Linked DNA regions of Rhinolophus ferrumequinum. The protein of the gene in region 1 interacts with the protein of each later gene in a pairwise test. Links are inferred from orthologs where the notes say so. Each region holds a gene or a part of one and is shown in the gene's direction. Other genes may lie near its edges.

Region 1 (7,081 bases):
TCCATCTATAAAATGGGAATAACATTATCACCTATTTTGTGGGGATTAAAGTGGCTAATGCAGAAAGCACTCATGACAGTGGTCCATACATAGCAAGTGCCCAGTAAGTCTGACCTTCACCCTTCTTGTTATAAGGCTGCGGAGGAGACACCAGACGCTAAGTGAAAAGGCCAAGGAAATTCGGTGGATGGCTAAGACGTTCCAGAGGGAGGTGTCATCTCTGGAAGGGTAAAACCCAGAAGGTGACAGACAGCAGCTGTGACAACAGGGGAATCAGGCACAGCTCTGGACACAAAAGCAACCGGTACTCAGGGAGTGATAATTCTGAGAACAGTCCGGATCGTTCCAGAAGACTGAAACGTGCTGCTGGACTGAGGAAAGTGGGCCATAGCAGGCGGGCGCCCTGTGGGGGCTCAGGGCGTACAGTACTAAAAGCTGCCCTATACAGGGCAGAATGACAGTGAGTGAGATGGTAATCAGGCCTTGTCACAAGCAGTCCTGAGAGCTCAGCCTTTCTCCAACCACGCTGGGCTGCCCAGAGGTGGGAGCCAAGCCCTGTAGCCAGCCTGACCCTGGATGCCAGGGGCACAGGCAGTCGTCAGGGATTTACTCTATGCCAGCTTAGTCCCCAGGGCAGGGCTTTTAACTTCAGTGCCCTAGACAGATGTGGGCGGGTGTGTGTGTGTGTTTATGGACAGGCTCTAGAGTGCTCCCTCCATTCTAAAGGTTAATAACCACTACGCTGGGAAGTTCTAACTGAAAATTCTTAAACCTGCGAGGACGCAGCACTGTTTGCTCCATTCCCCATCAGACCATAAGCTCCTCCACTCGACTGTAATTTCCTGTAGAACAAAACCCACAAAAACTGTCTTGTGTCTCATTCACTACTGTACTCCCAGGCCTAGAACAGTGTCAAAAAAGAAAAATGTTTTTAAAAACTAGTTCGTTGGCCTAATTAATTGGTGCTTGTGTCCCTTTCAGCATCCTTTCTCCAGCTGCCTGCCTTCTGAGGGGCTGAAAACGTTTCAGAATTTCATTTCTGTAAGCCGTTAGATTGTGAGAAAGTCCCAAATTTACTGAAGCTCACAGTGACAATTCCAGTCTCACAACACACACTTATGTGGGGCAGAGAAACAAGACCTCCCTCCCCCAGTTCCTTCTCCACCCACCCTTGCTACAATAAATTATAAAAACAGAGACCCGCCGCCTCCAGTTCCCACGCTGCTCAAAGCTGACAACACACGACTGCAGGCAGACTTCCACGAGCACACAGGTCAGCCACACATCGGCTTAAGCCAATCAGTCCTGTGCAGGTAGTGGCTTGAGAAAATACTAGATTTGAGAATGATCGGGATGACCAGAGCCTTTACCAAAGCTGGAGACAAGTAAGGCGTCTTGCAGACACTGCCCACGCTCTGTCTGACAGGCAGCTCTGACACACGTGCCACCTGGGGGCAGCCCACAGTGGGAGCCCAGGGGCTGCGGGACTGGATCACTTTTCTATTTTGGGAGCAGCCCACGCTCCCCTCTGTCTCCGAAGCCGAGCAGGCAGGATGCCCACTCAGGAGGAAAAGACAACATGCTCTTGACTCTTTCACTGCCAAGACAGGGCCCAGGGCTCCGAAGGTCCATCTCTCGTGCAAACCCTTCTATTCAACAGAGCCTGAGCCAAAGGAAAACCGCAATCCCTACTCCCTACCAGAAAGGAGAAAACCCAACTGGAGTCTCTATGCTTCATTCTATGTCCATCCAGTTCTAGAGCCCAGGTTCCAGCTGCCGAACACAAAATATCCTTGACCCAGGGTGGGAAGAACTCATCCTGGCCGGTTCCCAACACAGGACTGAAGGGCTACAGACGCCGCGGAGCGTGAGAGGCACTGCGGAAATCAGAAACCAAGACTGGAGGTTGCCTGGCAAAGGACTGGAGTCATGAGGCTGGGGCGCCGGCAGGAGTCAGGAGTCCCCAGGTGCCCTGAAACGGGCTCCCGTGAACCAAGGACACTGGACTCCAAGTCCTTCTGGGCCCTTTCAGTCCAACAGTCTTCCAGCCTCTTTCCTTTCATTCAGAATCCCAAAAATGTGAGCCATAAGGGACCTCAGGACGTATCACATCCAAATTTCTCCTTTTAAGGACGAGGACGCTCAGGCCCAAGGTCACACCGTGAGACGCGGCAAGGCGAGGACCTAACCTGGCTCTCCCGATTTCGGTCCTGCGGGGTTCTCAGGGCTCATCCCTTCCGGGTTCTCCTCCATCTCGGACTCCACCCTCACCTCCCCCACCCCTGCAGCCCTCAAGTCCCCCCCACCTTTGCTGACCCCAAAACCGCAAAGCTCGGTGCCCGCCCCAAGTTCACCGCTGTGGGGATCCCTCCCTCCACGTGCTTCCTTCCCAACCTCCCACCCACCCAACCTCTTCTTTCAGCTCCGTCCCGGGTTAGGGGGCCCCCCACCCGCTCCCTCCAAAACTGCACCCTCCTCCCTCGCCCGCGCCCCAGCCCGGCGCCCGGGCCCCGCCCGCCTGGAGGCCCCGCCCCTCGCTGTCCCCCCACTTCCCTCCGCGACTGCACTCACGCCCCGGCCCCTCTCACCGGTAAAGCCGCTTGGTGTGGAGGACCTTTGCTTCGGGCTCGCTGCTCTCCCCTGGGGGGGGGCCTTGGCTCATGGTGCCCGGGCCCGGGGGCGGCTTCCGGTCACAGGCCCCCGCCACCCACCGCTACCTCCACCACTGCCGTCTCCGGCCGTAGCCGCAGCCGCCACCGCTGCCGGCCCTGCTCGGCCGCCATCGCTGAGGCGGCTGCCCGCGACTCCTCCTCCGCCTGCCAAATCTCGCGATAGCAGCTGCACAGCTGCGGGCCAGTGGCCGGCGGCTACCAAATCTCGCGAAACTCGTTTTCCCTCCCGGGAAGTTGCCAGAACTAACTCTGGGCAGCATGGCCTCTTTCCGGCTTCTTCAAGCCCTTGCGAAAAACTTTATTGACAAAGCTGCTCGAGAACGGACAGTGGACCCAGCCAGAAGGGGGAAGCTAAGCTCAGTGGGGCAAATGGGCTCACGCTAGAGCTGGGAGCGGATTTTGCGTTGTCCTACGGTGGTCATTTATAATCCACCCTTCTGCCCCTTCACCTCCCCTCACTCCATTTGAGTCGAGTCTCTTTCAGATTATGGTCAGAATTTTTTAGGAAAAAAATGTCACAAAGCTCAAATGCCTTTAGTGGTGAGGTCCCACAGGAACGAGAAGTCCCTCTCTCACTCATGTTTCTGCCCCCGGGTCGACCCATTGAAAAGATCACCTTGGATTCCTATTGCTCTCTTGACCTTAAACCTAAGGTAAAAAGCAAGGTATTTGGGGGTGGGGGACTGTGTACGCGTTGAAATGGGAACATAAATACCCCCTCCGCCACTGTGCCGCTGGTTCCAGCCACCGCCCTTCTTTCTGTTCCTGAAACTGCCAGTCTTTCTCACTCATTGGCCTTTCACTTGCTGTTCCACTGCCTGCAACACTCCCACTCCTCATTTCCCTTCAGGTCTCAGCTCAAAAGGCACCTTGGCAGAAAGGTTTTCCCTGTTGAAATTGTCTCATTTATTGAGTCGCTAGGCTTCTTTATTATCTGTGACCCCAAGAGAACGGGCTCCGCAAGGGCCGAGCCTTTGCCTGTTATCTTGTTGTCTCTGGAGTCTGTGCCTAGAACAGTGCCTGGCTAATAACAGGTGCTCAGTAAATGTGAATAAATAAGTGTAGAAATTCCATCTCTTTTCTGGGTATTCCAACCTACTCCAAGCACCCTGTGATGCACAAACCCCATGGTCCCCCTCTGTTTTCGTGAGCCAGGAGCCCTTACACATGCCATTTGCCTAGAACACACGCTTACTTCTATGCCCAGCTGCACCCCCACTTTCAGAAAGGATGACAGGCGACCTCTAAGGCTTTTTCTGTCGGCAGATTCAGCAGGGCGGGGCCTGCCCCTTTAAGCTGGGCCCCACCTGCTCCGGTCAGACTGGTTTGGAAACACAGGTAAAGGGAGGGAGACCAGAGGGTTACTTGCAGAGCCAGCAGGGAGCTGGGCAGCTCCTTCCCAGACACTGTGGGGACTGGGGACCCTGCGTCTCTCTCCAGATGGAAAGTAAGAGGGTGTCATGGGCCAAAATGGCAAGGGGTAGGAAGCCATTGTGGAGGTGGAGGGAGGGGCTGAGCCCCATCAAGAAGCAGAGAGACGGAGAACGGAGGGGACGGCAGGGAGGGGAGAGACCGGCGAGGAGGCATGGGGAACAGCCATGGTAGGACCTAGAAGTCAGAATGGACAGACGCAGGCCCTCTGCAGATGGATGAGGTGGGCTAGTGAGGAGTTTGGCAACTGCCCATGTCCCCAGACTAGAGACGAAAGAACAGGGTGCACTGCTATGCCAGTTCCCTGGGACAGATTTGTTGGCAAATCACTGGGATCAGTTACCAGGAGGGTTCCAAGCAGGGATCTGCAGGGAAGGCGAGGTTTGAAGGTGAAGGGGCAGCTTCTCTGTCCGCAAGGAGGTCCTTAGTGGGAAGGCAGCTCTTGGCAAAATTCTAGGCACCTCCTGTCCCTCCCTTTCCTGCATGAAGGTGGCCATGACCCCAGGGGTTTTGGTGGAGGGGAGCAGAAGGCGTGGGTGGGGACTGGCTGAGGCCACAACTGCCAAGACCTATGCCCCCTGACTCACCCGCTCCTGCTGGCTGGCGTTTGATGTCAGAAGGGTGCCTCCATTTCAGCTGCTCACGTCTCTCCTTCCTCACTCTGTTTCAACACCTTCCTGCATGCCATGTTCTCCCCAAGGTCCCAGAAGGGGAGTGCCAACTGCCCTGGAGAGTTCGGTTCTGTCAACCCATCCTAAGGGCCAGAGGACGGAACTTCTGACAGAGCTTTCCTGTTAATCTCTAGGGTGACATGACCTCACGGTAGACCCCAGAACTGAGGTCCCAGGATGACAGAGCCCGAACACCTGGCCCTGCTGGAAGTGAAGGGGCCAGAGGCCCAGGAGAAGAGCTCACCCCAAGCCTTGGTCCCCAATGGCCGGCAGCCAGAAGGGGAAAGTGGGGCCGAGTCCCCCAGCGCTGAGCCCTCCAGCGTGGGATCTTCAGCTGGGTCTCCCACAGCTGGAGAGGGGACAAAGGATGGTCTGGACAGCACAGTGAGCGAGGCTGCCACCTTGCCCTGGGGGACTGGCCCCCAGGCCACTGCCCCATTCCCGGACCCCCCCGGCTGGCGGGACATGGGGCCTGAGCTCCTGGAGTCGGAGCCGCCTGGCAAACCAGAGGAGCTGTGTGACGATGACGTGGACCTGCTGCCCGAGAAGGCGCCACGGGCCTTTGTGCCCATCGACCTGCAGTGCATCGAGCGGCGGCCCCAGGAGGACCTTGCTGTGCGCTGTGAGGCCGGTGAGGCAGAGCGCCGCCGGACCTTCCTGCCCACCCGAGCCACCCCTCCTGAGCCCTCAGAGCGCAAGTGGGCCGAGGCCGTGGTGAGGCCACCCGGCCGCTCCTGTGGGGGCTGCGGGGGCCACGAGGGGCTGAGGGCTGTGGCCTCCGTGGCAGCCGCCCTGGTCCTCTTCCCCTGCCTGCTGTACGGGGCGTACGCCTTCCTGCCCTTCGATGCCCCTCGGCTGCCCACCATGAGTTCCCGCCTCGTCTACACGCTGCGCTGCGGGGTCTTCGCCACCTTCCCCATCGTGCTGGGTGAGCCTGGGCCCTGTGAGAAGGAAGGGGCATCTGGGAGCTGGACTCGAGGGCAGGGCCTGCCTGGCTGGGGAGCAGAAGTTTCCCTTTACTGAGGCTGGACCCTCGGGGCCTTGCGCGCTCTGCCACCCTGTGTGCCTGCCCCTCCCAGGACCCCAAGCCCCACTGTGGAGACCCATGCCCATGAGCTCTCCACCATGCGCCCTGCCCCCGCTTCCTGCCTCGTGCTCTCTGACCCTGCATCTCCATCCCTGCCAGGCCTCCTTGTGTACGGGCTGAGTCTGCTGTGCTTTTCCGCCCTGCGGCCCTTTGGGGAGCCCCGGCGGGAGGTAGAGATCCACCGGCAGTACGTGGCCCAGTCGGTCCAGCTCTTCATCCTCTACTTCTTCAACCTGGCCGTGCTTTCCACCTACCTGCCCCAAGACACCCTCAAACTGCTCCCTCTGCTCACTGGCCTCTTCGCCATCTCCCGGTGAGCTGCGGCTGGGGGTGGGGCACAGGGGAGGTAATGGCGCTAGAGGGACCCAGGTGAGTGAATGTGCAGAGAGCCCGGGTCGCGGGGTCCGGGAGCTGTCTGGATCCTGCGCTGGCCCAAATGTGCGCCCTGGAAAGGTGAGTCCACTTTCTCCCTTGCACCTTACCTCACCTGGTAGCAGGTGATCAGCTCAAACGTCTTCCCACAGGAAGCCGATTTCGGAGACTCATATACCATCTAGAACTGGAAGGGCTTCCAGGTGTCATTGCAGCCACCCACCGGTGACACTCTGGTCAGGTAGCCGTTGGCCTCTAGTTGGACACCCCCTGTGACCAAGGGCTCAGTTCTTTATCTGGCAGTCTGTTTCGTTTTTCAAAGGTCCTCGTTATTAGGAAGTTCTTTGTGTTGTGCTAAAGACTGCTGCCCTGACCCTGATCTCTGGAATTGCCTAGGACAAATTCGGATATTTGACAACAGCTCTGTTCCCCTACTCCAGCACCCTGCTCCCCGTGTTTACTTTGCTAAGTGGCCCTGACCCCTTCACCGTCTTTCTCTATGGGCAGGAAATTCTCCTGCTGGTCAAATGGGGTGAGGGTGGGGGGCTGGTGAAAGGTATTGGTCTTCGGCTCATACAAACCAAGGCCACGTTAGCTCTCACGGCAGCCTCATTACTCTCCTTTCATTTCGAATTTAGTCCCATGAAATCCTTAGGGGTGTTTCCATGGGAACTACTGTTAACCCAGAAGACACCTTTGAATTTCTGAAGCCAAATAAACACAGGTCTTTCCATTTTTGCCCCTAATACATTTCCTTTTGTCACTATCAATATACAATTCCCGGTAGCTTTAACTGCTAAGAAAGTCTTCCTATCGAGCTAACATTTGTCTTCCTGTTACTTTTGATT
Region 2 (7,869 bases), on another chromosome or scaffold:
GCTGCGGACTGCGGAGGCGGCCGCGGGGGCGCGCAGGGCGGTGGGGGGAGTCCCGGGCTGGGAGTAGCCAACGAAGGGAGTGGTTGCGGCCCTGGCCGCCCTATGCTGCATGCCCTACCGGAGGTCTCTGGGCCATCTGCTTGTGTCTGGCATCCAGAGCGTCTGTGCATGTGTGCGAGATATACATGTGCGTCCTAGATGGCAGGACAGCGTGCACACCTGTCTCTGCAGGCCCGTGAACAGATCCCCTTGTGAGGCATTTCTGCACTAGGGATCTACGTGTGTGCCTCGGTGTCCCCGTGTGCATGCCTTGCCCTCAGGGACACGTCCTCTAAGCAGATTCATGGGCATGTTGTAAGTGACAGGTGTGTATCTGCACTCACATTTGTTTCCACAGCTCATGAACATAATGTGCCATTGTGTCTGTGTGAGCGGAAAAGGGGAATGTCATCACTGAAGCCGGCGTGGGAATGTGTGGAATTCTGGAACATTTCTCTGGCACAACCACAGCCTGTTGGAGCTGGGAAGGGCCTTGGAAGTTTCCCAGTCCAGCCCTGTGTTTAAGAAATGAGGAAACTGAGGCCAGAACCAAGAGGAAAGTAGCCAAGCTTGATATCACACCTACTATGTGTTGTGGACTCTACTTACTTACTCCTGTCCACCTTTTGAGGCAGATGATATTGATCTCGTTTTACAGAAAAGTAAGACTTATAGTACCAGGGGGAAAAAAGTGACAGAGCGGAGGTTTAAATCCACTCTGCCCAATTCCAGGCTTAACAGTTGTTCTTCCACACCCGGGGTTTTCAGTGTGGCCCAAGCAGCCCAGGGGTCCTTGAGAACCTTTCAGGGACTCTTTGAGGTCAAAACAATTTTCCTATTAAAGACATTATTGCCCTTTTCACTTTCATGCTCTCACAAAGTACCCTGGAATTTTTTTCTATTAAGCGAGAAATGAAAGAAATTTGTAAAAATGTAAAACAATAACATTCTTCTCTCTAATTTTTTTTGCTTTGTAAAATGATTTCACTTAAACTTTATGTTATTTATGTTATGTAATGGGTTTATTATTGCTATTTTAACGCATGAATAAATATTTTTTTAATTTCTCAGTAAATAATAGATATAACCCACATAAACAAAAGCTCTTTGGGGTCCTCAATACTTTTTAAGAGAGTTAAAGGACCCTGAAACCAAAAAGTTTGAGAATTGCTGCTCTATGCCATGTTACCTCCCTGGGGTGTGGGTGTATGGTGTGTGTGTGTGTGTGTGTGTGTGTGTGTGTGTGTGTGAGGGGGTGACTGTCCCAAGAGCTGCCAGGTACAGAACAAGGGGAGCCTAGAAGTCAGGTGATTGGGCTCCCAGTCTGGTGCTCTTTACACATCAGTCCAGGAAATCGAGATCACCGGGTTTAAGATGCTTTCCCAGCTGACCCCAGCATCAGCCAGCAGGGGATTCTTTGGTCTGAACTTAAGTCCATGTTCTGCCAGACAGGGATGCCCTGGCCCTTTGATGCATCCAGCTTCCCGTGCTGCCTTCCCCATGCCAGCTCGTGGGAAGATAAGCAATGGGGGTGGGGACGGTGGCTGGGGCAGCTGGGCAACCATCTCCACTCGTCCCTGGCACGGCTCTGCCCAGGACACAAAGGGCAGAGTGAATCCTGTCCCGCCCCTGCAGCTGAGGGGCTGGAAGGAGAAACAGGGAAGACACACATAGAAGGAGGGGCTATTGTGGGGCTTTCCACGGCCACAGTTCTCAGAGGCTTTAACCCAGAGACAGACAGAAAGGGGGAGGCGGGGTCCTACTCTTAGTAGGGTCCTTCTCTAGTAAGACCTGCCCTGGGAGTTGAAGTAAATAGTGATAATCATGGACTTTCACATCATGATGTCATTGGATTCTCACAACAGCCTGGAGCTGGGGACAGGCAGACAGTATTAGTCCCATTTCACAGATGAGTACTCTAAAGCCTAGAAAGATAGGATGTCTCATTCAGGGTCCCAGAGCAGGCCAGTGAATCACCGAGTCCTCCACATACTGAAGGAATGAACTATTGACCGTTTGTCAACGAGCCCCCACATGTGTGGGGATAGCCTTATCGTTGACTATAATTACACGTTGGGTGCGTGCAGGCTCCTTGCTCTGGGGCAGGTACAAAGAATCCTCAGGAAAGCTTGATCCCAGGGCCAGTCTCATGGCTGGCAGCTAGGTTGAGTAGGTAAGGCAACAAAAAGCACCCACATAGCTGATGAGACCATCAGGGAGTGTTAAGTGGCAGGTAAACATGTGTCAGGGAGGCTGGGAGATTTTGGAGGAGGGATGGGACCCTGTAGGCTGGGGCGGTAAGGTCACAGAGTAGGTGCTATTGGTTCTTGTTTGGCCTTTTAGGGTGGGTGGTATTCAGAGAGGTGGAGAGGTGTTGAGGGTGGGCTTTCCAGAAGGGAAAACCGGCCTAAGTAAAGGACAAGAAGAGAGAAGCCTGCAGTAGAGGGCTAGTGTGAGGAGCAAAGGGACAGCTATGCAGGACCAGCTAAAGCGCCCTCCCTCCTTCCTTCTCCACATTTCCCAAGATCTCTACCAGGTTGCTGGCAGCATCTGAACTTCCCTTACGAAACTGGAGGGCATCCTTCCTTCCCAACTTCCAAACAGGCAAAAACGAGAGGAAGGAAGGAAGGAAGGAAAAGGAAAGGAAAGGAAAGGAAGAACTGTAAAGCTTATGAGAAGCACAGCCTAAGGGCAGCCTGCAGGGGAGACTGAGGACCGGAGAGGACCGAGGCTTCTCTCCCAGAAAGAGCCCCCTTTCCCACACCCTGTGATGATGGCAAGCCCGGCCAACAGCACCTGTTCAGAACAAGCTCCTCAGCTGGACTAGGCAGTCCCCGAGATGCCCACAGGGACCTCCTGATGCTTGCAGTTATCCTTGGCCCTCCCGCTGGCCTGCTGCCCACCTGGCGCAGGCCCAGTATGTGTGAGTCAGCGATCAATCCCAGTGTTGCCAGGACAACTGGGGGTGGGAGTGGGGGCTCTGGGGGCTGTCTTCTGCCTCTGGCACCTGCACACAGCTGAGGCTGCACACTGAGAGGAGGCCGCTTCCCCCTCCTCCATGAACCCCTCTCCCCCTGTTTCACTCCTCCTAGGACACTGGCTGCTAGAGGCTTAGGCAAATATTTAAAGGGGCCGTTGGGGGTGGGGCAGTGAGGTGGGTGGTGGGAGCAAACATTTCCTTCCTTCTCTCCTTCTCCAATCTTCTCAGGGGCTCTCAGCTCAGATGCCATGCTGTTGTGCAATCTGGAGGCTGAAGGCCCTCCAGCTGGAGAGGGGGTTGTTGTGGGGACAGGGGAACCTGCCAGGGCTGAAGAGTTGGGGGTCTGCTCAGGATTGAAGGGCAAGGCCAAGGTGCGAGGGAGCCCCTGGGCAAGGGACAGGAATTGGGATGAAGTGTTGGAGTTACGGTATAAGGAAGATACTAGAGGGAGGCCAAGAGAAGAGCGAGGTGTGGGGCTCTGATTTACACACTTGGGAAAGTTTAGAGTTAAAGGTGCCACAGAGCACACCTGTCCCAGCAAGCAGAGGGGAACCTGAGAGAAAGGATACAGCCATCAGTAGGCTTGTTTAGCACAACGAAGCAACAGCGATGGCTTTGGGAAGGAGGAGGAAAGAGATAGAGGGGAGGAGAAGGTCCACAGAGTGGATCCCATTTGGGCAAGTAGTGTTCTCCAGGCAAATTTAGGATCAGAGGATGTCAAAGGAAGAGTGCAGAAGGGAAGGGTGATGGCAGCACCAAGGAAGTGCGCTGATTCAGGGGTGAAGAGATTGGGAGCCCATCAGTCACCACACCCAGCCCGGTGCAAGGCTTTCTGGACAGAAGAAAGAAGTGTCAGGTGTGGAATCTGCAATCAAACGTCTTCAGTTTGAGCTCTGAAAATGGTTTGCCATTCACTTGACGCAGAACACCCCACAAAGTCACGCAAATCAAGAGGCTCAAGTCTTTGTGTTTATTTTAAAAAACACTCATGAAACTGCCCAGGCCATCAAGGGTATGTATGTCCGAAAAGCCACCAAGTATCTAAAGGATGTCACTTGACAGCCGTATGCGCCATTCTGTCGTCACAATGGTGGAGTTGGTAGGTGTGCCCAGGTCAAACAGTGGGGTTGGATGCAGGGTCGGTGGCCCAAAAAGAGTGCAGAACTTCTGTTGCACATGCTTAGAAATGTAGTGAGGAATGCTGAGGGTTTAGATGTAGATTTTTCTGGTCATGGAGCACATCCGGGTGAACAAAGCTCCCGAGATGAGGTACAGAACTTATAGAACTCTTGGGGGATGAACCCCCCAGGTGAACAAAGCTCCCAAGATGAGGTACAGAACTTATAGAACTCTTGGGGGATGAACCCCTACATGAGTTCCCCCTGCCACAGTGGGATGATCTTTACTGGAGAAAAGCAGATTGTTCCTAAACCAGAAGAGGAGGTTGCACAGAGGAGAAGAAACGGAAGAAACAAAAACGTTGGCCTGGGAATAAATTCAGCATCAAATAAATGCAAATAAAATAAAAGCAGGAAAAAAACAAAACAAACAAGCCCATAGCAAAGAATGGAAAACCTCATGTTAGTAAGAATTTGTAACTGGAGGGGACAGAGTTTTCAGAATTTGGAAAAGAATAGCTGGGGGCATGTCTGAGGTTAGGTAAGGAAATGTGGTAGACAGCAAGTAGAGTACTTGAGGTCAAAATCTGAATGCTCCCAGAGAACTTATGAATGATTTATGAACCTCCATACTGATGCCTTCAGCAGTGCACGATCTGGGGCCACAGACACTGCTTCCTCACTCCCATTCCTGAAGCGTATCCCTATGCTCGGGTTAATCCTGTAGGAAATATGATGGACTTCCCACTGGGCCAGACCCTTGGCTGCCTGAGAGGTACAGCCTGGAAGAACAGGGAAAGCCACAGGACTGCAAGGACAGGTGCCAGCAAGAAAAGTGGCCATGCCAGGAAGATACCCACGGTGAGAGGTGCAGATTGCCCAAGGGTAAGTTTGCTCAACTCACCCAGCTTTGCTTTCGCCAGGGCTAAGAGGACTCACGTGCCAGAGCAAGGGCCCTTAGGTGCTCTTGCAGCTGCCTTATCAGGGCCGTGGTTCTGGAGGGCCAGGAACAAACAGGCTTCAAAGCTGAGGGCTTGGCTGGCAGATGGTTGCTGGGCCCTTCACCTCTGTCCCCTCTCCCTCCTGGCACATATAAAACCCCAGTCTCACACATAGGAGACGTAGGAGACGAGGAGGGGAAGGTGCCTGCAGCAAGATGGATGTGGGCAGCAAAGAAGTCTTGATGGAGAGCCCACCGGTGAGTGTGAACATGTGTGTGTGCGTGTGTGTGGTGGGCCTCTCTGGGCTTATTTCCCCATCAAATTTATTCGCTTAACCGACCTAGGATTGTGCTAAGTTAGAGCAGGGACACCGATCACTATGACAGAGTCCTTGGGGGAGATAGACATGGCAGCCGATGATTCTAATATGAGTGGCTGAATGGCACCACAGAGGTCAGTGGAAAGGGCTGTAGAGGGCACTGAGTAGGAAACCACTGCTTGGACAGTCATAGGAAGAACCACAGAGAAAATGACATTCGAGCTGACTCCAGGAGAATAAGCAGGAGCTCCCCAAGTGGAGAAGGAGGAAGGCACTCAGAAAGAAGGGCGGTAGGTATAAAGGCACAGAGGTGTGAGAGAGCATGAATTGTTTGGGGAACAGAGAGGGAGTGGGCGTGGCGGAGGTACCAGGGGTCTGGAGGAAACAGCGGGAAATATCATTAGTGAAATAGGCTGTCTCGGGTCTCTCCAAGCCAGACCTCACTTCTAAGCATCTGTTGGTTTGCTGGAATCCAGGCCACCTCCTCCTCTGATCTCCTCATCCTTCCTCTGCACGACCATAGCATAGGTTGCTCAGCCCTGGGAGGGCGTGAGAGGGTGTCCAGCTAGTGCAGGGAGAAGGGGTGTCCTCATGACTTCATAACTGTCTCCTCCCCACCCCACCACATCAGGACTACTCAGCAGCCCCCCGGGGCCGGCTGGGCATCCCCTGCTGCCCTGTGCACCTCAAACGCCTTCTCATCGTGGTCGTTGTGGTGGTCCTGGTCGTCGTGGTGATTGTAGGGGCCCTGCTCATGGGTCTTCACATGAGCCAGAAACATACTGAGATGGTAAGCAGGCCTGGGAGGAAGTGGGCAGGAAGTACAGGGCATGCCAGACAGATTGGCTTGGGGGGCTGGGTAGGCAGCAAACTGTCCAAGAGGAATGAGAGGAGGAGGCAAGGGGCACCTCGTGGAAGGACAGAGGCAGAAGCAGGGTGGCCAACCTGGCCTGGGCTTTCCCCTCACCCCTACCCCACCTGGGGACAGCCTGTTCCTTCCAGCACCTGGTTCTACTCAGCCTCTCTGAGCTCTCAGGGAAGAAGGAATTGCATTTGAGTATAGGGGATTGAGAGTGGGCATGAGTACTGAAGGGACAAGTGGGGAAAGAGGAATGCCAGGCCGCGCCGTGCCCTCCCCCAGGTCCTGGAGATGAGCATTGCGGGGCCGGAAGCTCAGCAACGCCTGGCTCTGAGTGAGCGTGTGGGCACCACTGCCACCTTCTCCATTGGCTCCACTGGCATTGTAGTGTATGACTACCAGCGGGTGAGTGTGCCTGGACCTCTTGACCCTGGCCCCAGGGGACCCATGACAGGACTTTGCTAGATCCACCCAGCTGTGCTACGTCATACACACCCATCTTTCCCCATACTCCAGTGCTTTTGCACCCCCTGGGGGTGCCTGAGCCCCAAATTCCAATATAACTCCCTCCTGTGCCCAACCTAGAGGGAGAAGGCCCAGGACAGGGCCTAGCTCATTCCCTAATTACCTCTGGGGCTCCTATGCCCAGCTCTTGATTGCCTACAAGCCGGCACCAGGAACCTACTGCTACATCATGAAGATGGCTCCGGAGGCCATCCCCAGTCTTGAGGCTCTCACTAGGAAATTCCAGAACTTCCAGGTGGGTGTGAGGGCGAGAAGGAATGGGTTGTCTCTCTCCCGAGGCTGCTGGGACTTCTAGGAACGCCTGTGTGTGGCACAAGGAGTTGGGAGCACGTTGTCAAGTTCTGACCCTGTAAAGTGCTGTTCCTCTGGGGCTGCCAGGGAAGGGTCCCTCTCCAGACTCACCTGCTCTACACCTTCCCTACCCATTCCCCAGACCCGCCCCACCACCCCACCTCCAAGCTGCTGGCCTCAATTTAGCCCACACCACACATAGGGGCTTCTGACTCCAGCACAGACCCCTCTTTACTGGTGAGGAAACTGAGGCTCAGAGAGATTGCTTCACATGCCTGAGGTCCCACAACGAGGGCCACAGGTGAAACTCAGCTCCCAGGCACCAAATAAGGTGTACTTTCCAGGTGAAGCCTGAAGTGCCTCCCGCTAAGCTGAGCCAGGAGAAAGGCCATGACACTGGCTCAGCATCCAATGGGGACCTGGACTTCCTAGGCAACACCGTGAACACCCTGTGTGGTGAGGTGCCCCTCTACTACATCTAGGATCCTTCAGGTGAGCAGGTGTGACCTCCAGGGCACGGGAGTAGCAGTGGCCCAAGAGGGCTTGGGCCACCTTGTCTTGTCAGTTGACCTGGAACGGGAATCCATTGAGGCCGATCACCCAGGGAGCTCAAGGGAGGGCAGGTTCACAGACAAGCCCCCCGACCCCACCACCAGTCCCTCTCCCTCACATAATACAGTGTTTCTTTGCTTTGCAGGGCATGCGGAAGCCCCAAGGGGACAGGAAAGATCCATGAGCAAAAGGTCTTTTGCAGACAGGCAGGGAGCTGCTCCTGCCACACACACTACAGGAACTGG

The links.
Region 2: the proteins of TMEM79 (region 1) and SFTPC interact in binary tests that used the Homo sapiens proteins (3 or more experiments, as listed by UniProt). The two-hybrid records come from large-scale screens. The link is inferred for Rhinolophus ferrumequinum from reciprocal best matches to the Homo sapiens genes TMEM79 and SFTPC.

What each region holds. Positions count from the first base shown.
Region 1 is NC_046305.1:816,692-823,772, forward strand, and holds the start of TMEM79 (transmembrane protein 79), read left to right. Parts: upstream 1-4,002; 5' UTR 4,003-4,119; intron 4,120-4,908; 5' UTR 4,909-4,951; coding exon 4,952-5,702; intron 5,703-5,960; coding exon 5,961-6,174; intron 6,175-7,081. Other genes in the region: nonsense-mediated mRNA decay factor SMG5, read right to left, coding at 2,589-2,662.
Region 2 is NC_046301.1:44,266,969-44,274,837, reverse strand, and holds the start of SFTPC (pulmonary surfactant-associated protein C), read left to right. Parts: upstream 1-4,840; 5' UTR 4,841-4,869; coding exon 4,870-5,022; intron 5,023-5,204; exon of another isoform or gene 5,205-5,293; coding exon of another isoform or gene 5,294-5,335; intron 5,336-6,028; coding exon 6,029-6,187; intron 6,188-6,538; coding exon 6,539-6,661; intron 6,662-6,905; coding exon 6,906-7,016; intron 7,017-7,416; coding exon 7,417-7,554; 3' UTR 7,555-7,564; intron 7,565-7,769; 3' UTR 7,770-7,869. UniProt on the Homo sapiens protein: Pulmonary surfactant associated proteins promote alveolar stability by lowering the surface tension at the air-liquid interface in the peripheral air spaces.